4 linked regions of the Callithrix jacchus genome follow. The protein of the gene in region 3 purifies or fractionates together with the protein of the main gene of each other region. This does not show direct contact. Links are inferred from orthologs where the notes say so. Each region holds a gene or a part of one and is shown on either strand. Other genes may lie near its edges.

Region 1 (5,511 bases), on a different chromosome or scaffold from region 3:
TTCAGTGTTCTTTTAACAAACTGGAACATTTCTATCTTACTGGATTTAACTTTAGCATGACTGATTTAAACAAGTCAGACTATCAGTTGTTAGCTGGAGGAGTGAAATTGAATAAATTAATATTTTGTAATTTTAAAATAACTAAAATATATCATAATATAATTATGTATATTTCATGCCTTGTGATACAGAGACTGACTGATCAGGAGCTTCACACAGACAAGCCAGATCTTTTTCTACAATTTATTTTCACTGTTTTACGTTTCAAAACATTTTTTAAAATTAAAAAATTAAAAAAAATTCTTAACAATTTGTAATGTGAAATTAGGATAATTATGATTTAAAATAATTTATATGAGTCTTTGGGAATTACTTTGATATTTTTCACTTTTGATATGTATTAGAGTGATTTTTCTGTGTTTGTTCCTAACTTTGTAATCCTGCGCTCTAGATTTTGGAATTTAGCTCTGTATTTTAGAACCAAGTTATAAAACATTGTCACTACTAAATCTCAAAACCATAAAAATATTATTATTGATATGGACCACAGCTGCTGTTTTGGAAAGCAGTGTTCACACATCTTGTTCAAGCAGTTACAAAGATTTTAAGTAATCAGTCAGCTGATAAATTTTCATAAGTTATTAATTATAAAATGCTCCATGGGTCACATCTGTGATTTTTCAGCAAGCTATATTTATGATAAATAATGGACAGATTTTGAGCTGTACAGATTGAAAATTTTTAACTCAAGGTGAAGTATGCTGAGGGATCAAGGACACTGAGACATATTCTCCTACACACACACACACACGCACACACACATACACACACACACTCACTCATTGTATTTGAGGTGAGCCAGTTGTTAATATGTGATTTGTTTCTCACCTAGGAAAAGCCTAAACTTTAACTATTTTACAAAATTAGAGCACATACGTATGACATCTCATTAGTTCGTTGTGATAATCATTATATAATAATCTAAAGCCTGAAGTGAGGTTTTAGACTTCACATAGATTATAGAATGGGGAAATGTTTGCAATGTGATGATAACCTATACATGATGTTTACTACTCACCTGTAATTAGTCTGAGGTAGTGGGTTCATGTTAAGTTCTCAATTGAGGGCTTAAGATACTGTTTGGGAGCTGGGAAAAGGGAAGGTGAAACCCACTTTTCAGAAGAGGAAGAATTGGTTGTAATGTTAAAAAGAAGTTCACTACTGTGCCTTACTTAGAATTCGGTCAAGTTTTGGAAATTTTAATGTAGAATAGTTATTAAGAATGTTACAGAAATATAAGATCCCTGTTATGATAGAATAAGAAGCATTTTAATATATTCTTTGTGACAGTTTTAACAGATTCTTTGTGTAGCTATACTTCTAATACTGAAGAATTTTTTGAAACTTTTGTTCCTGATCCAGTTTTTAAAATGTATTTAAAATGTAGTTAAACACAGTGATATTGTTTAAGAGTAACTTAACTGTCTCTGTTATCCCTCCCTGATACCTCTGTTATCCCTGTTTCAAATGATCCCTCTGTGTAACAGTAGTCTTTACCATTCTTTATCCTTTTATCTCTTTGGTAGTAGTAACAAAAGTTTCAATGTATTAGGTATAATTATGCTATGTGTTATAATGTAGTCTAGCTGTATTTATGTCCTGCTTCCTTAATATAGGAATTTTTAGAATGATACTTAGTACGCATCATTAAATTTTTAAATTAATCTGGATTATTATATTGTATATATTATAACTTAGGGGGCCCACTTACAGTTATTGAGGGAGTCACTACAGCAATTTTACATTTTTTTTGTAAAATACTGTACATTTTCATTACCCTATAAGAGAAAGCATTTTTTCTCCTTTGAAGTTTTTTATCTTTGACCTAAACTAAGACTGATCCTCTAGTAGTAGCCAGTTAAAGTGCGTGAAGTAGGAGGAGTAAAGGAAACTCCAGTCATTAGTTGTAAGTTAAAAGCAAAGTTAATATAGATGTACACAGCAAAAAAATTTAAAGGATATGAGAAAAAATTTTAAAAACTTGCCTTGTATTGGAACATGTTGGACGTCATAAAGAGAATCTTGTAAGTGTGTTTAAATATTTTACTATAATACATTAGCTGATGAATGTTAAAGTCATTTGCATATCTATATCAACACTAAGTTGAAATTAAATACTAGGGACTATATTATGCCTGCTTCTTTTAAAGGCCAGTATGGTTTAATGGTTGTGGCTTTTAAAAATCATATGGGATATCCTTATGGAGCTTTATTTTTTATGAGACTAAACAGCAGTATTCATTTTGGTAGGTCCAAGAATGTGATTAAAAGAATCTTAGACGTTTCAGTGTTTGCTGTGTGTTTATAACAAGGTCTACTATGGATAACAGTGTGTGGATGTAAAATTAAAATTATGTAGAAAAATGCAGTTGCATATAAGTTTTAAAATACTTCCATGAACTTTAATATCCTGGGAAACTATAAAGATCTTTTAAAATTGGCTATGATGTGCTTATCATAATTTTGTTTCAGCTGAATGTATACTTATATATGGTTGTTTAGAAACAAACATTTAGATAGGATATAGTTTAAATTTATAAGTAGATTTCTTTTAGTTGAGCTGGTTAAAATGTTAATAGTATTACAGGTTTATTTCTGTGTTTTACATGGTAGACCATAATGTTGAGATAATTCTGTGGTCTGTTATTTTGTAAAATTGTTTCCTTTTTGAAGTTTGCTCAAATATTGGGAGCTGCCGGAGTCAATCATTTATAATGCTTTGATTAATTTAGAATCTGATTTTTCTTCTGGTGAGGGTTAATGAGAGTATTAAGCTGTTTCTTTTACTCTTTTCATATCCTCACTTCTGTAACTCTAGAAAACATTTTGATCAATGTGAGATAATTTAATTTTGTCTATTTCAAGTCATTACTTTGAAAATTAGATAACATTACAGATACCAAATGCAAATAGATACGGAAATTTCGTTTTCAATTCTTAATGCAACAAGATAGCATTATTAAGATCTTTAATATATTACTTGGAAAAGCTAGCAGTTTAAGAATCATACCTTTATGTTTAACAGGTTCATATCTTACAGGATTTAAAAATATGATAACACTTACCCCAAAAGAAGTTTTGCTGACATGGTGTCACTGTGCTGAAGAGGCTGTTTGATGCCATAGTCCCTCCTTTTTTTTTCAGATAGAACTTGTACCCTCTGTTGTAAATACTGCTTGCAGACTTAAACTGAAAATACAAACCATACCCAAACTTTGTTTTAGTTTTACAGTATGCCTGGAGTACATAGACTTTATATTTATTTTTTTCTGTCAAGAAATTATGTAGCTGGTAACATGTGAAAAGCAAAGAAACAAAACAAAAAGAGAATGAGCAAATATTTGAAGGACCTACTATTACTGCATAGACTGTGGTTAGAGAGCACTCACTGACTCTGTTGGTCTCGGTGGCTGGTAGTGACCTGCGGAGATTAACCATTTAAAAACCAGAGACTTCTTGCTGTCCTCCTGGAGAAAGTTTGCACCGCACTTGTGGTTCTGTGGTTGTTTGTGAGGCGAGTGAAGCATTCACACAATCCAAAAAAGCAAAAGCTTTAAAACTCCTTTTTTTTTTGCAAGCACTATTACTGGAGAGGCAGAATCATGTGGTTTGTGACCTCACAGTACTCAAAGTAAAGTGGGACTGCCTACCACTGTGGCTTTTCCCCCTTGCTCTTTCTTTCTCTCTCTTTCTCTCTCTCTCTCTCTCACAAAAGGCTTGTGGTAAGGCCTTTCCTGGCATCCAGAAGGATATAGCTTTTTAATTTTTGTGACTCATGAGGATTTGGATAGAATACAAATGCTGAAGGAGCCCAAACTCCTGTAAGGTTAAGCATTTGTAGAGCAGAGTTCTGCAGTTAAGGACTTTCCTTTCTACTCTTCCCCCCCAACCCCTGCCTTTTTGCCTCCTCTTTTTAGTTCATTATTGTGTCTGTGGATAAATGAACAAAATTGGCTCAAGAGTCTGTGTGAAATTCTGAACAACAGTGATGATTTACAATAATTTACATCTTTGGACTGTATCACATTCTGGGGTCTGCTTCATATTTGCTGGGTGGCTGGATTCCTTCTGTTTTCCTTTTTCTTGTCTTCTTAAACTTGTGAATCTGTAACTCATTGTAAAAAAAAAAGTTTACCTTAAGGTCTGGTTGCAAACTGCTTGCTAGGCTTGACTGTAATTGGCTGTCATGAAAGTGTTAGTCTAGGCATTTTTTTTTTTACAAATTTTAAATTACAGCTGTCTAGTTTATTATCAATATTTTAGATGGCGGCCTTTACAATAACGATTAAATGTAATCTTTCATGTATACCGTTATCTCATGCCTAGTTGGAAGATCTTAAAAAAGTGAATGACAGGAATTGTAATATAGTTTATTGGATGAATCTTAGTTTTCTTTATGATTGTAATAATTTTTATCTTTCATGGAAGCGTATTCATTTTATATCATTCTTTAAGTAGTTTGGATGTTAACAAAGTGTCTGATAGCAGATCTTCTATAAAGTAAAATGCTTATGTTATAATGTAGATATTCACTTTAGATTCTGTGAGCTTAGAATAGAGTGGGTTAACAGAAGCTATATTTTTTTGTTTCTAAACCTTTGAAATAAATTACAAAATCCTGTGTGTAGTAAGGAATAATGCCCACAGACAGAGTATGTTAGTCGTCTCGATTTGCTAATTCTGATTCAGAAGAAAATTGGAAACATCTTTGGGAAACTATCTCCTTTTTTGCCCCTTTGGAGAAGTATGTATAGAACTCATTTTCTTATTAGGATGATTATATATTATAGGCAGTGGATTTTATATTTATGAATAGAGCTTCCTGTTTTCATCAGTTAGGAGCGATGGAGTATTTTTCAACAAAAATTATAAAGGCGAACAGACCAATTTTCTAGGCATTTTTTGCCATTTATCCATGCCACTCTAAATCTGCATGTTAGACTTCTTCCTAGTGTGATAGTAACTAGGAGTGGCATAAAGTAAATGGGGTAGGCGGAGACAGTGAATTACAAAACATTATTTGGAATGTACAAGGAGGTAAGGGCTGTGGGGAGATAGGAGGGTGTTTGAACTAGAATATCCCTGCGTTCTTTCTACTACTTTTGATTCATATTAGATCATGATAACTGTACAAATATCTTCATAAGTTCCTTTAGAGAAAATTTGATTTTCCCAAAAAAAAACACTGGTAGGGCATGGGAATGATTCTAGTCCTTTATTTTTCAAATGTCCAGACCTTTTTCAGAATAAACTTTTAGTGACAAAATACCAAAAATATATTTTAGTGTTTTAACTACAGATTTTTCATGCCTTATTGTATGTATAATCAGGTTTACCATCGAAAGGCAAAAGCTTTCTTTTAACATGCAGTTATTCATGCAAAGGAGAGGAAAATTATGTTTTCTCTTTTATAAATAAGTTGTACCCATATTATCTGTATCTGTAATTAGT
Region 2 (4,954 bases), on a different chromosome or scaffold from region 3:
ATCAAATAACTACATTTTCCTAGCCACATGCTGTTTGTGAGCCCACAGTATTTTATAATGGACTGTTTCTAAGTACCACAGGGGTATATGAGTGAAAGCAACAAAATGCAAAAAAGACATGTGCTAAAAAACTAGGGTAGACAGGCTAGCCAACAGAGATACTGCATAGATTAGATCAGTTTAACCAACACCCAAAATAAGCCCGTATTTATTTAATTTAGTATAAATGTAGATTATTGTGTGTTACATGTAGAATTTAATTGAATTGTTTAAAGTACATTATAGAAATTACTACTTACTGCTAAATGATTAATATTTCAGTAAAGAAAACCACCTTTGGTTTATCAACTTATTAGAATTTTACCTTTGAATTTTGACTAGCTATTCATAAAAAGCAAGGCCAGCATAAAGAGATTTTTATTATGCAAGTGCTTTGGTTTTAAGTATTTCAAGTTAAAAGTAAATAATTGCGAGTGGGAACCTGTAAACCAGATACTCATTTGCTAGCTCTGGATTTCATATAGATGAGTTATTACTCACTGGCAAAGGACTGGTATTGTTTAAAGCACTTAATTCGTACATAAAATGGGATTTAAGCGTTGTAATTATTTAATATTTAAATTTATATTTGTTTGCCTTTTATTTCCTAAGTAGTTTCAAAGAGCTGCAAAATACTGAATTTATCAGATGTTTGACAGTTTATATGTAGAAATTTAAATACCTCAGATTTTACCTGAGTACTAGATTGCTTTAAAGACCTTACTGAATTGTAACGACATAGTAGATAACAGTTACATGAAGTAAATTCTGAAAATCATTCAGAATGAGTGCCTATTTAAAGCATATTAAGTGCAATGAAAGAAAATTTGAAATAAAGTTCCTTAGTTCTGGATGTAAAAAATTTAAAATATACTATAGAAATATTAAATATTACTGAATCTATCTTGACCACATTTATCTTAAACAGTTGAATCACATGATTTCCAAAGGCTTGTTTTTTTTTCCTTTTAAGTTTGATGCTTTTTGTTAAGAAAAGTTGTATACCATGACTACATTTTAGAAAACTTGAAGTTATATAATCCAAGTATTTACTAGAAATTTAAAAGTATACATTAAGTAACAGAGAAGTAAAATATGTAACACACACACACACACACACACACACACTCTAGACCTTAGCGTACTTGTCTGGGATTTTAAATGGGTAGAGTGGGATGTAGAAAGACTATAGTGATCTTTTTGTGTGTGTTATTTAGCATGTTGCCACTAGGAAAATAAATTCTCATACTTTTCCTTTTGCTTTTAGGGTTTTCTCATTCAGCATTTACCTTTGGTATAGAAAGCCATATCAGTCAGTCCAATATAAATGGTGCACTTGTCCCACCTGCTGCATTGATTTCCATCATCCAGAAAGGTCTACAGTATGTAGAAGCAGAAGTTAGCATTAATGAGGTAAGGAAGACTTATTTCAAATCCTCATTTTACTCCTAAATATGTCTCTACGTCTGTTGTCTTGCTTGCTTCTTCAGCATTCTGACTTTAACTTCACTGGGTTAACAAAAATGCAGACAGTTCATTGCTAATGTAGATTGCACAGGTGTTAGGGTCATTATCTGTAGTTTATTTGCCTTAATCTGATTTTATAAGTAAACACTAAGAAATTTTTTATTTTTATTTTTATGTTTTTGAAATGGAATCTCCCTCTGTCACCCAGGCTGGAGTGCAGTGAAGTGGAGTCTCAGCTCACTGCAACCTCCACCTCCCAGGATCAAGCAATTCTTGTGCCTTAGCCTCTCGAGTAGCTGGGATTACAGGCATGTGCCACCGCATCCGGCTAATTTTTGTATTTTTAGTAAAGATGGGGTTTTTACCATGTCGGCCAGGCTTGTCTTGAACTCCTGACCTCAGGTGATCTGCCCGCCTCCGCCTCCCAAAGTGTTGGGAATACAGGCGTTAGCCACTGCGACTGGCCAGAAATAATTTTTATTAACACAACAGCATCGTGCTGTGGAATGCTGAGATCGTAATTACTGGACTGAAAATGGTAAACTCTCCATGTTATTTGAATATACCCTTATTTAAAGCAATTTATAATTGAAGCCAACTCTGGATGGTACTGCTTATCTAAGGACTACATGTAAATAGTTTGGCTCAGGTGTCAGCATACTGTGACCCATTAGCCAAACCCTGCTCTTGGCTTTTGTAAATAAAGCTTGATTGGAACATAACCACACTCATTTACATATTGTCTATGGCTACTTATGGCAGAATAGTAGTTGCAAAAGAGACGTTTTGGCCTGCAAAGCCTAAATTAATACTTAATGTCTAGTCTTTTACAGAAGAAGATTGTAAGCCCCTGATTTGTCTGTTTTAAAGTGTGTGTGGGGTGGGGTGGTGGGTCCTCGCTTTGTTACCCAGGCTGGAGTGCAGTGGCATGATCTTAGGTCACTGCAGCCTCCGCCTCTTGGGTTCAATTCTCCTGCCTCAGCCTCCTGAGCAGCTGGGATTACAGGCACCCGCCACCACGCCTGGCTAATTTTTGTAGAAACGGGGTTTCCCCATGTTGACCAGGCTGATCTTGACTCCTAACCTCAGGTAATCTGCCCACCTCGGCCTCCCAAAGTACTGGGATTACAAGTGTGAGCCACCATGCCCAGCCTTGTTTAAAATTTTTATGTGAAGAGAGAAGCTTTCCCCCTTTTACTTCAGAGACGAACATGTTCCCCTTTTGCAAGTATTCTTTTTTTTTTTTTTTTCCTTTGGAGACAGAGTCTCACTCTGTCCCCAGGCTGGAGTGCAGTGGCGCAATCTTGACTCACTGCAACCTCCATCTCCCAGGTTCAAGCGATTCTCCTGCCTCAGCCTCCCAAGTAGCTGGAATTACAGGCATGCACCACCAAGCCCAGCTAATTTTTGTATTTTTAGTAGAGATGGGGTTTCACCATGTTGGCCAGGCTGGTCTCAAACTCTTGACCTCATGATCCACCCGCCTCGGTCTCCCCAAGTGCCGGGATTACAGGCATGAGCCACTGTGCCTGGCTAGAATTTTTTAAACTGAAATATCTATGATTTCTGTATCAATGATTATTACTAGAATTAGGAATTATACTAAAATTTATTTTACTTTGTTTCTGCAGCTCTTTGAGTGAAAATCCACTAACACAAAACTAAATTTTGCCTTAAAATTTGTGTAAATTTGACATAGCTTTTATTCCACAGTATCTGTGTTGGTTTTAATACCTTTTAAAAATTATTTATATATTAAAATACTTTATCCTGTTCCTCAAATACTACATTACAGAGGACAGTTCAGAAGGATGTGCTGTGTTTTTGCAGCTCACAGAACCCTGCAAACCACTGTAGATTGTCACTGGTACATGTTTACGGTTTAACTGAACCGGACTTCACATGCGCATGTTCCTAGCTCATTTGTACTGTTTCCGTTTCCAACTTGCTCTGTGTTTGTGTCTCTTCTTGTGCTTACTTGGAGAACTCCTTATTAGGAACTTCCTAATATCAATAGGTGGAGCTTTGGAAATTCCAACAACTCCCTAGTATTAAGGAGCACTGTAGCCCAGGAAGTCTGTTTCTGCTTTAATATCCTAATCAAATCACAGGAAACTTTGTAGCCCACAACGTTTTTAGTTTTATAAGAGAGGTATTTACTATAATGATGTGCCGCCAGGCCTCTGATCATTACATCAGCTATCCCGTGTTGTTGTTGCTTTCACTAACAGAATTTTGGAATCTAAGTAATACACCTTTTTATCAGCTGGGCTACATCTTATCCCTTTCATTTTCAGCAGTGGCTTCTTTTATATTTCAGTTCTGTCCGTACAGCATTTAATGACAGTATGAACTAAATGAAAAGGAAAATCTAAGCAGCCATTTGCAGCTGGCTTCTTGCAGTTTCTTTCTTCCCCCCAGACTGCTGCTTATATGAGTTCAGAAAGTTCTTACAAATGTTTTTCTTGGAATGAAGATTTTCATTTCATTTCTGATTTTGTATAAATACGAATAACTTTAAACACTGCCTTTGCCTTTTCTTCTCTCACACTCTTCCACATCCAGGATGGTACCTTGTTTGATGGCCGACCAATAGAGTCTCTGTCCCTGATAGATGCCGTGATGCCTGATGTAGTACAAACGAGACAACAAGCTTACAGAGATAAGCTCGCACAGCAACAGGCGGCAGCTGCTGCAGCTGCTGCCGCTGCGGCCAACCAGCAAGGATCTGCAAAAAATGGAGAAAACACAGCGAACGGGGAGGAGAACGGAGCACACACTATAGCAAGTGAGCCAGACAAGAATGTGTTTGTTTATTTTTTAAACTTTTGTTTTAGGTTCAGGGGTGCACGTGCAGGTTTGTCGCATGGGAGAACTGGTGTCACAGGGTTTGTTGTACAGATGATTTCATCACCAGGTACTAAGCCTAGTGTCCAATAGTTATTTTTTCTGATTCTCTTCTTCCTCCCTCCTCCACCCTCAGGAAGGTCCCAGGAGACAAGAATTTTTAAAAATTTATTTTCAGAGGAAATATTTTGCTTTACCAGAATGTCCCATCTTCTAGGCTGAAGTAATTTCATCAGTTGTTTGCACCAGCTTGTTTCCCTACCTTGTACCACACAGTTCAGATTTTTTATTCCTAAAGCTCCAGAAAGCTAGATTTACTTTTATTTTCTTTTAAAAATATTTAGAAACCCTTTTCCCATTTTTAAGTGAATTTTTGCATCTACATCTGATTCCTAAATAAAATTTGTAAAACTAGTTATCAACAAATATCATTAGAGTTCTGATATTGAGATAAAAGGCAACTCATGTTATATAAATGATATCAGCAACCCCTACTGGCAGAAACTCAGAATCGTACTGCTACACGTTATATTTAATTCAATCCATTTTACTGTTTTATCCAAGTTGAGGTCTAATCATTTAACGTCTTATTCCCATGCCA
Region 3 (4,954 bases):
ACCTCCAGCAGGCACACGCCTCCCTCGACCTGGGCCTTTCTCCCGCCTCTCCGCCTGCAGGCTCCTAGTGAGATCTCAGCTCTGACGCCGCTTGTCCAGGAAGCCTTCCCCATGCCCACCTGCTGCACAGCCCGGGTCTCCAGCCTTCTTCTCCAAATGTCTGCTCCTCCTGGGTCTTGAGAGGCCCTGTCTCTTGGGTCCTGACAGCAGGTTACATGGTTCTCAACATCTTGCTTCTCAGCCACATGGGCATCATAGAGGAATCAGCTGGGCCACCCAGGCCATGATGAGGCCCACAGTTCTGCACCCTACAAGCAGCAGCACAGGGCTCCACATACGCACTTCCCTTCTCACCCACGGGGGGCTCCTGAGCTCCACTCCCTGCCTCGGCTACTTATGCAGAGACTAATCTCCAAATGCAGCGGCCACTCTGCAGAGTGTGAGTCCACAGTGACGGTCTGCGGAGTGCCGCACTGGAGCAGCACATAAGCAGGGACATAGGAGAGTCACACTGAGCCTGTGACAGCGGCAAGGGGCTGCCCGGAGCAGGGCGGAAAGGGCCGACTGGAGGGTGTGGCGTGTAGGAGCAACTCCAGGAGACCCGGGACCATGGCTCACCCCTCTGGTCTCCACCAGTGACCACCCACAGAGGCCTCTGTTTCAGTGTTTGTGACTGGAGGTTTGTCCCAGCTCTGATATCCTATAGGCCTGTGCACCACGATTACCAGCGGGAAGGTGGGCTAGGAAAACACAGGCATGCTGTCCAGGAGACCAAGTCAGGCACAAGCTGGCCAAGAACTGTGGGAAAGGACTGCATGCACCCAGAAACCAAGAGTCAGCGTGGTCCGGGGAAGGAGCTGATGAGGCAGGATGGGGGCACGAACTGAGGCCTGGGACGAGGGTGGTGGAACCACAGCCGACTGGGAAAAGGCCCCGGCGCTGGGAGCGGGCTGAGGACTGCGGGCTGTGGCCTGGTCCAGCGTTGAGCCCACCGCCCAGCTGCCATGCCGGATTGGGGAAGAGCGATGAGGCTCCTGGAGCAAGGCTGGGCTTCCTGCTGACACGCTGGGTCTTCACTCCAGGCCTGCGCCACCCCGCCAGGGCTGCTGTGACAGGGAGGACATCCAGTGCAGCAGCCGTGCACCGGATGTGGTCCACGTGGGACTGAGAAAGTGAATTCCAATTCTGACTTTATCTTTTTACTTCAGTTTCACAGCTCCTCATGGCTGGCGGCTCCTGACCTGGCCGGTACTGCTCCAGGCAGCGTGGGGGCCGCCAGCCTTCCAGGAGAGTCTGCTGGCTGCAGGAGGACAGACTGGAGGGGCAGGAACCTGTGCAGGAGGCTTCTTTCCATGAGAGGATGGGGCAGTCCCAGTGGGTTCCAAATCAGGGCCCTGCTTATGGCTGGGCTGGGGGAGCACCCCTGAGGCACTGAGAAGGATGGACAGGGGCTGGCTGGGGGCATGAGCGAGTGTGGGAGGTGGCAGGTTAAGAACAAGGTAATGATCACAACACCACCACCATACCTGCAGGGCATGTGACTGCACAGCCCACTTAACCCTCATCAGGCACGCAGGGGTGGACCCCTTGGTGCCCCCACTTCCCAGATGGAAGAATGAGGCTGACAGAGCCTTCCCAGGTCATAGAGCGGGAGAAGGCTGGGACGGAGCGCCTGTGGGCCGCACGATGCTGCACGTGAGACACTGGCTTGGAGGCTCCCAGCCAGGGGACTGGTGGGACGAGCTGCTGGCAACCTGGGGGGGCCCTGCAAGAGACACAGGGCTTGCGGAGTTTCAGAGGTGGTGGGCAGGACAGGAGGGGCTGGCTGGGCACAGGTGTAAGGCAAGGCCAGAACAAGCTGGGCAGCCGAGCATGGGCCCCCTGGCGCCACAGAGCCTGGGAGGGCACCATGGACAGTCCCCATGCCAGTGAGCAAGCTGCACCTTTGAGGACAAGACGACTGCGCAGGGAGGAAGCAATGCCGAGCTCAGCACGCGTCTTGGAGAGGTGAGATCCACGCAAAGCCGTCATTCAGCTTCTACGAAACAAGGCTGTTTGCCCAGAACCCGATACACAAGACTATGCATGTGACCTGACCACGTATGACAAACCGATCTGAAGAAGGAAAAATGAGTGATAGAAACACCTCTGATAAAGCGAATCCCAGGGATCCTGAAGGATCAGGCATATTTCACATTTTTAGAAGATATGAGAGGAGAAACTCAGAAACCCCACCTCAGGTTAGCTGTCTGGAGCATCTAGGAGACTCAGACACCATCTCAGATAAATTCCTCCAGACAGATCCCCGTGCCTACCACAGTGGCCGGAGCTTGGAGAGGTGCTGTGAGGGCTGCCCCTCCCTGGTTACACCACGGGCTCCTTTGCTGTGAACAGGGCAGGGGCACGAATTTGAGCTTCTGGAGAATCAAACAAAAGGGCCCAGGCATAAAACAAAGGTGGCCCCTTGTGGCTTCGGGTGAAGAAGGAATAAGGAGCAATCCTCTCTGTGTCAACACACGGGCAGCACAAAGCAAGAGAACACCAAAATCCCCCAGGCCGGTCACACCAGAGGCCCAGGCCTGCCCAAGCCAGCCCCCAGCTCCTTGCACCCTGCAGCTCAGCCTCCTACAACACACCAAGCTCCTGAGTTTCCACCAGGTTCACTGCCAGAGTTTGATGGGTGCAGCTCTGAGATTATTTTAGCCTTTCACTGGGAACAAGAGATTTCCAGGAAGCCGGATGTAAAGAAATGAAGATGTACAACGATGTCCCACACAGCACGGGGGTGGGTGCTCCCTCACTTCTTCTGAGACGGAGTCTTGCTCTGTCGCCCGGGCTGGAGTGCAGTGGCACGATCTCGGCCAATTGCAACCTCCACCTCTCCAGTTCAAGCGATTCTCCTACCTCAGCCTCATGAGTAGCTAAGATTACAGGCACCTGCCACCATGCCCAACTGATTTCTGTATTTGTAGTAGGGATGGGGTTTCACCATGTTGGCCAGGCTGGTCTCGAACTCCTGACCTCAGGTGATCCACCTGCCTCGGCCTCCCGAAGTGCTGGGATGACAGGCGTGAGCCCCCGTGCCAGCTGGTGCACCCTCATTTCTGGAGTGACGCTTTCACACTGCTGATGCAACTTCATAAGAAAGTTCTTATTTTTCTCTGAATTGTATTTTTCTAAATATAGAAAAATTTCCGAGCTCAGGCCACTCCCCAGATGGGGCACCTTTGAAAAATGTTCCATTAATGGAAATTGACCACAGTAGTCGGTTCAGGGCTTCCAGCACCGGCTCAGCGTGGCCCAGTGAGAAACGCAAATCGCAAGAGCCAGTGAGCGACCTCTCCCGAGAGGTGAGAAAGGGGCAGTGACTTCTGTTTTCGCTCCGTCTACCTGACTCTGGGAGGGGGGTGTGGATTTGCATTGCAGCCACGGTGGCTATATGACATGACGGGGATGTGTGTTTGGGAACTGTGGGGGTGGGACGGGCGTGTCTTTCTGTCTCCTCCAAAGGCAGGGGAGGGCCGGGCACCATCCAGAGCGGGGGCAGCCTCAGAGCCTGGCAGCAGCCGAGTCCACCTGTGCTCACCTGTGACAAGGGGCGCTTGTGCCGGGGGCTGCTCCAGTAAGACCATGTGCTGCAGAAGAGGGCTGTGCGCTGCCCCTCCATCCCGCTCCAAGGGCGAGGTGCTCAGGTAGGGAGTGAGGTGGGTGCCCGGGAAAAGGGAGAGCCTCTGCTGGAGGGTGGGGAGGGCGAGTCTCTCAGCATCCTGCTGGCCTGCCGCGCCCTGGAAAGCACAGCCGGGGATGCTCAGGCGGAAGGAACCACCACCGCCACCCCACGCCACAGGGACCCAGGCGGTGACTTACAGCAGAAGGGCCGGTGGCAGGCAGGCCCAGCGTGATGTTGGGCAGGGAGGGCGACGTGTACAGGGGAAGTGGAGCGGCTGAGCCCTCTCGCGCCACAAGTCGGTGCGCCAAACTCGTCTGGGGACAGAACACATGAGGACGGTCAGTTGGTCATGGCCAAACATCAGCAGTACACACCAAGAACAGCAGCTGTGAAAACGCCTGTGGTGGCCTGCGCTGCGTTCTGATGTGGAGCACAAACGTGGTGGAACAAGTGAGACGGCGCTGACGGGTGAGAGCTAAGCGCGCCCAGCACGGAAGCACAATTCAGGGCTCGTGTCCTCCCCCCCGATACGAGTTCTTCTGTCACTTTTCCAGCGTCGGCTCGTTGATTTTTATTCAATTTGATTATTTACCACAGAGTAATCCGGAGAAAACCTAGGGTAACATAGTTGACCTCATTTTGTAGTTGGGACGTCTTTCCAGACCTAACACCAAAGGCAGAAATCAAAACAAAAATAAGTGTAATTGTACGTTTAAAAACAACTAAAAGGGCATGCTTGGGTTGTTTGTCACACAAAGGATACAGGCTTGAGAGGATGGACACCCACACTTTGTATGACATGACTACCACGCATTGCATGCCCGCACCAAAACATCTCATGGACCCTATAAACATATCCATCTATTGTGTACCCACAAACATTAAAAAGAAAACCATAAAACAGCTGCTTGTATGACAGGCCAGCAATGAAGACAACATGGGCCGAGTGTGGGCAGATGAGGGCGGGCACAGACAGCTTGCAGACCAGCCGACAGTGAGCAGTGCCCGCGGTGAGGACCGGCGACTGCAGAGCTCATGAAGGGGAGGACGGTCAGGAAAATCCTAAAAACCAGCCAACCTGTGATCCTAGAGCTCCACACCCGGGACAGAATGTTAGGAGAGGTAAGGAGGCGACCTGGTGCTCACGAAACCTCGGCCGCGGGGCTGAGCACCCAGCAGGCAGGGCAGAGCAAGGCGGCCTCTCCAATGCCTCCGTGTTAACAGAACGGGGGGGCGTGGCACATGGGACTGAGGGTTGGGAATGATCTTGGTGATTACTTAGAC
Region 4 (5,450 bases), on a different chromosome or scaffold from region 3:
TAGACCAGGCATGGTGGCTCATGCCTGTAATCCCTGTACTTTGGGAAGCCAAGGCAAGCAGATCACCTGAGATAAGGAGTTCAAGGCCAGCCAGGCCAACATGATGAAACCTTGTCTCTACTAAAAATATAAAAATTATCTGGGTGTGGTGGTGGGCACCTGTCATCCCAGCTCCTTTGGAGGCTGAGGCCAGAGAATCACTTGAACCTGGGAGCAGAGTTGCAGTGAGCTGAGATTGCACCACTGCACTCCAGCCTGGGGGACAGAGCAAGACTCCATCTCAAAATAATAATAATAATAATGCCACCAACAATACTAACATTTACTGAGTGCTTACTATGCACCAGATATTGTTCTAAGTGTATACATATTATCTCATCTAACCATCCATAATACTGTGGTACAGACACTTTTATATCCATTTTACAAATAAGTAAACTGAGGTATAGAGATATTAAATGACTTGCCAGTAAGTTTCAAAGCCTGTGTATAAGCTCACTCTTGATTCTGGAGACAGTGATTCTTAACATAGTATCTTCAGAATGTTAAACTAAAAGATTTGTAATTTACAGAATTAGTTTTTCCACAATTAAAAAAGAAATTATGAGTAATTATTTTGAGTTCTCTTCAGGCATTTCCCTTAGTTCTTTTCAAGATCTAATACATATCATTTAGTGTTGTAGATCTGATAAACAAAAGTAGCACAAAGATCAAAGTTTTTTTAGAGATGGAGTCTCGTTAGGTTGCCTAAGCTGGAAACTCCCTAGGCTGGCACTACCAGGCTCAAGGAATCCTCCAGCCTCACCCCGCTCAGTAGCTGGAAACATCTTGTCAGCTAGGTCAACATTTAATTATAACTTTATAGGTCTACTGACCAGTTAAAAAGAGGTGCTGTATACATTAGTTGTTGTCAGAGTTTGATGTCTTTATATAGGCCATTGTTTTTACATGCTAATACAATTGAAAGCCAATACGGATATCTCTGTTTACATCCCAAAGCTAGGTTTTAACAAGAAACTCATAAGGCAAAGGTGAGAAGTAAAATAATTTAGTATCAAGTGGAGATATATTTGCAACGTTCCTTGGTTGAGCTCAAAATATATTCTTTTTTTCTTTTAAAAGACTGACAGGCTTGAAGCTTATGCCTCCAAAGACAAAAGTGATTATTTAGTAGCTTGCAAAGTTGCCAAAGGCCATTTTTTTCTACTGAATTTGGTTTATACTCTTATTAAGGTCATTTATACCTATTTGTAACTGCTTAACATAGTTTCAGATTTTAAGATTTCCCTGCAACTTCATTTCCCCTGAGGTTTACAGCAAGAGAAGTTAGTTTTTATTTTTAATTAAACTCCACCACAGAAAAACTTAGTGGACAAGGAGAGTTCCCCTGTGTTCCATGGCAGAGTGCGGTGGGTGACACTGACCCGTGGTTAGGTAACCTGACAAGGAAAGACCCGTTGTAACACATCTGAACAATGAGACCAATGGAAGGGCTTGCTGCCACGAGGCGAAGTCTGCTTTTTTGAACTAGGAACTCAATCAGAGTTGGGCGGCAATCCTGCCCAGCACTGCGGCGGAAGAGAAAGAGAGCCGGAGCCTTACATTACTGCACCAAGAGTATGAAAATATGATGCAGGTTTGGGACCCGGCAACTGAAATCCCTTCTCAGCAGCGCCTCCCAAAGCTGGCCACCGCCTTCCTTAGGAGAAAGCCCAGAGTCCCCAGACCCGGGCTGAGCCGCGCCCCCAGCTCTTTTCTCTTTCCTCCGCAGCTAAACACAGACGAGCACGTGAGCGGGGCAGCGCGTCCCAGCTGTGCCTCAGCTGACCGCCTCCTGATTGGCTGAGAGCGACGTGGGCTGGGGTGGGGACTGGCCGCCTGCGTCGCTCGCCATTGGCTTTCGGGGAACCCGCCTCCACCTCAGGTGAGGCGGGCCTGCGGGAGCAAGCGCCGGCCCGAGCAGGCGGCGGGCGCGCTCCCGCCCGCTCTCCCCTCTCCGTGCGCCGGAGCGCGCTTCCGCCTCCTCTCCCCTCCCCGCGCGCCGGAGCGCGCCTCCGCCCTTGCCCGCCCCCTGCCGCTGCTTCAGCTTCTCAGTGCACAGAGCTGCCTCGTCTGAGGGGACGCGAGGATCACCCTCGTCGTCGCTTCGGCCACTGCGTCGGGCTGGGCCCTGACAAGCCGCCCGAGGAAAGAGGCTCGGAGTCTGGCCCGGACCCCGGCGATTGCCGCCCACTTCTCTTCCTTCTGGTCTCACGAGCGGTTTCCCGCCTCGCACCTCCACCTCTGGACTTGCCTTTCCTTCTCTCTCCGCGTGTGGAGGGAGCCAGCGCTTAGGCCGGAGAGAGCCGGGGGGCTGCCCGCCGTGAAGGCACGCGGGGACCGATTCACCATGGAGGGCGCCAGCGGCGCGAACGACAAGAAAAAGTAAGCCTATTCCCTCGGCCGGCCGCCTTCGCCGGCGCCCCTGCCCGCCGGCCCGCCCTGGGCTCCCGGGCCAGCGTCGGCGTTCCTGGGGGTGGGGGGGGGCAGCCTTTTTTGTTTCTGCCGCTTCTCCTCTCCCCTCTCTTTCCCCCAACCTCGCCGGCCAGGCTCCCCCGCTGTCCACGTCGCCATCTTGTCGTGGGGGGTGGGAGACGCCTCTAAAGTGCTTTCAGGGGCCGGGGTCTGAGCCCTGCTCGCCCTCCCCGCCGGCCGTGGGGGCCTCGCGCCGCCCACCTACCCGCCTCAAAAACCCAGCCTGCTCTGTGGCCCCATCCGGAGGGGACTTTACCCAGCCCGAAAACCCCGAGAAGAGAAATGAGCTGCAGCTCGGTCGTCGCGGTTTGCACCCGGAGCTTCCGCTCCTTCCCGCCCCCATCCCCTCCGGTTCCATTGAAAACTCGGCCCTGGGGCGGACCCTGCACGCTGGTCCTGTCTTCCCTGTGGGCTCCCGGCCCTGAGTTCCGGACCGACGGACTCGCGTGGTCGGATGCGATCTTGTCCTGTGGTTGTCCAGCCGTCGCGGGTGTCTTTGCCTTTGTGCATTAAGGGATTTGCCGCGATGGCTTTAAGATGCGAACTTTTTAGTTTGCACGTGCAGGTTTTGTTTTAATCGCCTTGAAAAACTTGCCTAGACCGAGAGTCAGAGTAACGGGAATTTAGGGAAATAGCAACATTTTAAAGAGAACTTCAGAATTGAATACTTGTGTTCATATCACCTGTCACGGCAACGCAGATATTATAAATGAATATATGCCTCATTAATTCTTGAAATAGTGAAAATGTAGGGGCTGATTAAATGTAGGCAGTTTTAGTGATATTGAAGAAAAAGCGTATGATGAGTTAATGAAATACGGCACTAAAATGATGCAAAAATTTTGGAATTGTCTCATTTTTCTGAAATCGAAGTATATTAAAGGAAAACCTTTAACATATATCCAAAGTAAATAATCACTCGGTTAGAACTGAATCCGAGTTTTATAAATCACCTTGAAGTTGTAGTCTAAGGGGTACATTAGATATTAAAAATTGTGATTTGTACCAGTGGTGTTAAGAGCTAACTTCCCCATCCCTCAACACACACACACAATTTTGTCCACTTTGGTATTTAAACTTTTAAGGAAATTATTTTAAGGAATTGAAGATTTAGAGTAAGAGTTTTGGTTAGTAGACTGGCTTTGCTGGCAAATCCTTCCACTCTCTGGGAGAGAGATTAATTTCCCTAATCAGTATCAGCAGAAGATAAACTTGTTTATATTCTTGTTGTTTTGTAGATCCCTTCTCCTGGTCCCTCTTCAGTAGAATGTTAAATTTTCAGTTTGTGTACACCAGAGAAGGCACTAATAAAATTCAAAAAGTGAGCGAACAGGTCTAGATTAATTCCAACAGTTACCAGGAATTAATTGCAGTTTATTTTGCGGAGGTGATTACAGTGCTTTTGATGAAATGATGAGCTGCTATATTGTAAACCTAAGGCAGATTGCCTCTCTATAGTGCCAATTTTCTGTCCTTATTATATATTGAACCATACTTAATACAATGCATTAAATTATGCACCAATCACTTCCTTTTTATATACAGTATCGAACTCATTTCTTTGCCATTCATCAGTTCAGAATGTCAGAAGCAGCTTTGAAATAAGTGAATAAATAAATTAGCTACTGTTCCTCAGCCCCAATTCTAAATGAGTTTCTTAGATTTTCCTCAGCCCATGTGTTACTTTCAAAATGTTCTCACTTAAAAAGTTAGAACCTTGGATAGAATGGACTCACATTTCTTAATATAGAAGATCTTGATATAACCGAGAAATTAAGTTAAACACTTAATAAATGGTGGTTACTCAACACTTTTAGATGCTGTTTATAACAGATGACCTTTTCTAACTAATTTACAGTTTTTTGAAAGATAACGGAGATTGGGGGATGGGGATTTTCTTCATGCAGTTTTTTTTTTTTTTTTTTTTTTTTTTCGTTTGAAATGAGCTCCCAGTGTTGGAGTTTGGGAAACAAATTTGTCTTTTTAAGAGAAGGTCTAGAAAACTCAAAACCTGGAGAACTGGAAGAAATCAGAATAGAAAATGGGTATAGTTATAATATTAGAGATTTAACATAGGACATTTCATGTGGGTTCCTTGTTATAGGGGCTGGACTTTAATAGAACGTGTATTTTGATTTTTAGATTTGTAAAGGAATGTCAAGAAAGTAATGATTCTGTTTCAGGCTTCAGGCCAGACCACTTCAAAGTTTTGCGAAACAAGTAGTTACTGAATCATTAAAGTAAAATTTCTGACAATAGATATTCCTTAATTTCCTTCTTTAATTTTGGACGTTAAAAGTCAAGAGGCTCTCTCGTTTATTAGCAAACTTTTCTCCTTAGAATTCTACTTTGATTTTCCTTTTGTTTGAGGAAGCAGCATATAATGATTAAGAGCATAGGATCTGGAGTCAGATACCTCGAGTTAAGGGTCCCAGCCCTTCACTGGTGAGCTTGAGCAAGTTACTGAATGCCTCTGAGCTGTTTTCCTCCTTTTGAAATGATAAGAATAGCAGCCATCTGAGCAGTTATTGTAAAGATTAAATGAGATAATGCATATAAAGCAGTTAGTTGCCTGGAATAGGAGTCTTGGTGACATTGTGTACTTGAAAATAGATGTTGCTTGTTAAAATTGTGATTTAAACTTCCACAACTCTTAGAACTCTTTTTGCTAGGCCTTCCAGCTATTAACTTTAGTTTCTTTTCTGCATCTTCATGCATCTTTCCTATCTTCTGAAAGTGAAAAGACTAACATTGGATCCAGAGTTTTAAAGGACTTTTTCCCTGCTAAAATGGGCAAAAGAGTACATCCAGCCGGGCGCAGTGGCTCATGCCTGTAATCCCAGAACTTTGGGAGGCCGAGGCCGGTGGATCACGAGGTCAAAATATCGAGACCATCCTGGTCAACATGGTGAAACCCCGTCTCTACTAAAAATACA

What was found.
Region 1: the proteins of HDAC4 (region 3) and RUNX2 purify together in Homo sapiens (affinity purification with western blotting; 3 studies listed by BioGRID). This does not show direct contact. The link is inferred for Callithrix jacchus from reciprocal best matches to the Homo sapiens genes HDAC4 and RUNX2.
Region 2: the proteins of HDAC4 (region 3) and TBL1XR1 purify together in Homo sapiens (affinity purification with mass spectrometry; 3 studies listed by BioGRID and IntAct, with this or other methods). This does not show direct contact. The link is inferred for Callithrix jacchus from reciprocal best matches to the Homo sapiens genes HDAC4 and TBL1XR1.
Region 4: the proteins of HDAC4 (region 3) and HIF1A purify together in Homo sapiens (affinity purification with western blotting; 4 studies listed by BioGRID and IntAct, with this or other methods). This does not show direct contact. The link is inferred for Callithrix jacchus from reciprocal best matches to the Homo sapiens genes HDAC4 and HIF1A.

The regions. Positions count from the first base shown.
Region 1 is NC_133505.1:53,756,096-53,761,606, reverse strand, and holds the start of RUNX2 (runt-related transcription factor 2), read right to left. Parts: upstream 3,590-5,511; 5' UTR 3,588-3,589; coding exon of another isoform or gene 3,499-3,587; coding exon 3,126-3,498; intron 1-3,125. UniProt on the Homo sapiens protein: Transcription factor involved in osteoblastic differentiation and skeletal morphogenesis. Essential for the maturation of osteoblasts and both intramembranous and endochondral ossification.
Region 2 is NC_133518.1:9,854,113-9,859,066, forward strand, and holds part of TBL1XR1 (F-box-like/WD repeat-containing protein TBL1XR1), read left to right. Parts: intron 1-1,306; coding exon 1,307-1,452; intron 1,453-4,071; coding exon 4,072-4,294; intron 4,295-4,954. UniProt on the Homo sapiens protein: F-box-like protein involved in the recruitment of the ubiquitin/19S proteasome complex to nuclear receptor-regulated transcription units. Plays an essential role in transcription activation mediated by nuclear receptors.
Region 3 is NC_133507.1:160,449,122-160,454,075, forward strand, and holds part of HDAC4 (histone deacetylase 4), read right to left. Parts: intron 3,985-4,954; coding exon 3,868-3,984; intron 3,786-3,867; coding exon 3,587-3,785; intron 1-3,586. UniProt on the Homo sapiens protein: Responsible for the deacetylation of lysine residues on the N-terminal part of the core histones (H2A, H2B, H3 and H4).
Region 4 is NC_133509.1:96,404,842-96,410,291, forward strand, and holds the start of HIF1A (hypoxia-inducible factor 1-alpha), read left to right. Parts: upstream 1-2,092; 5' UTR 2,093-2,389; coding exon 2,390-2,424; intron 2,425-5,450.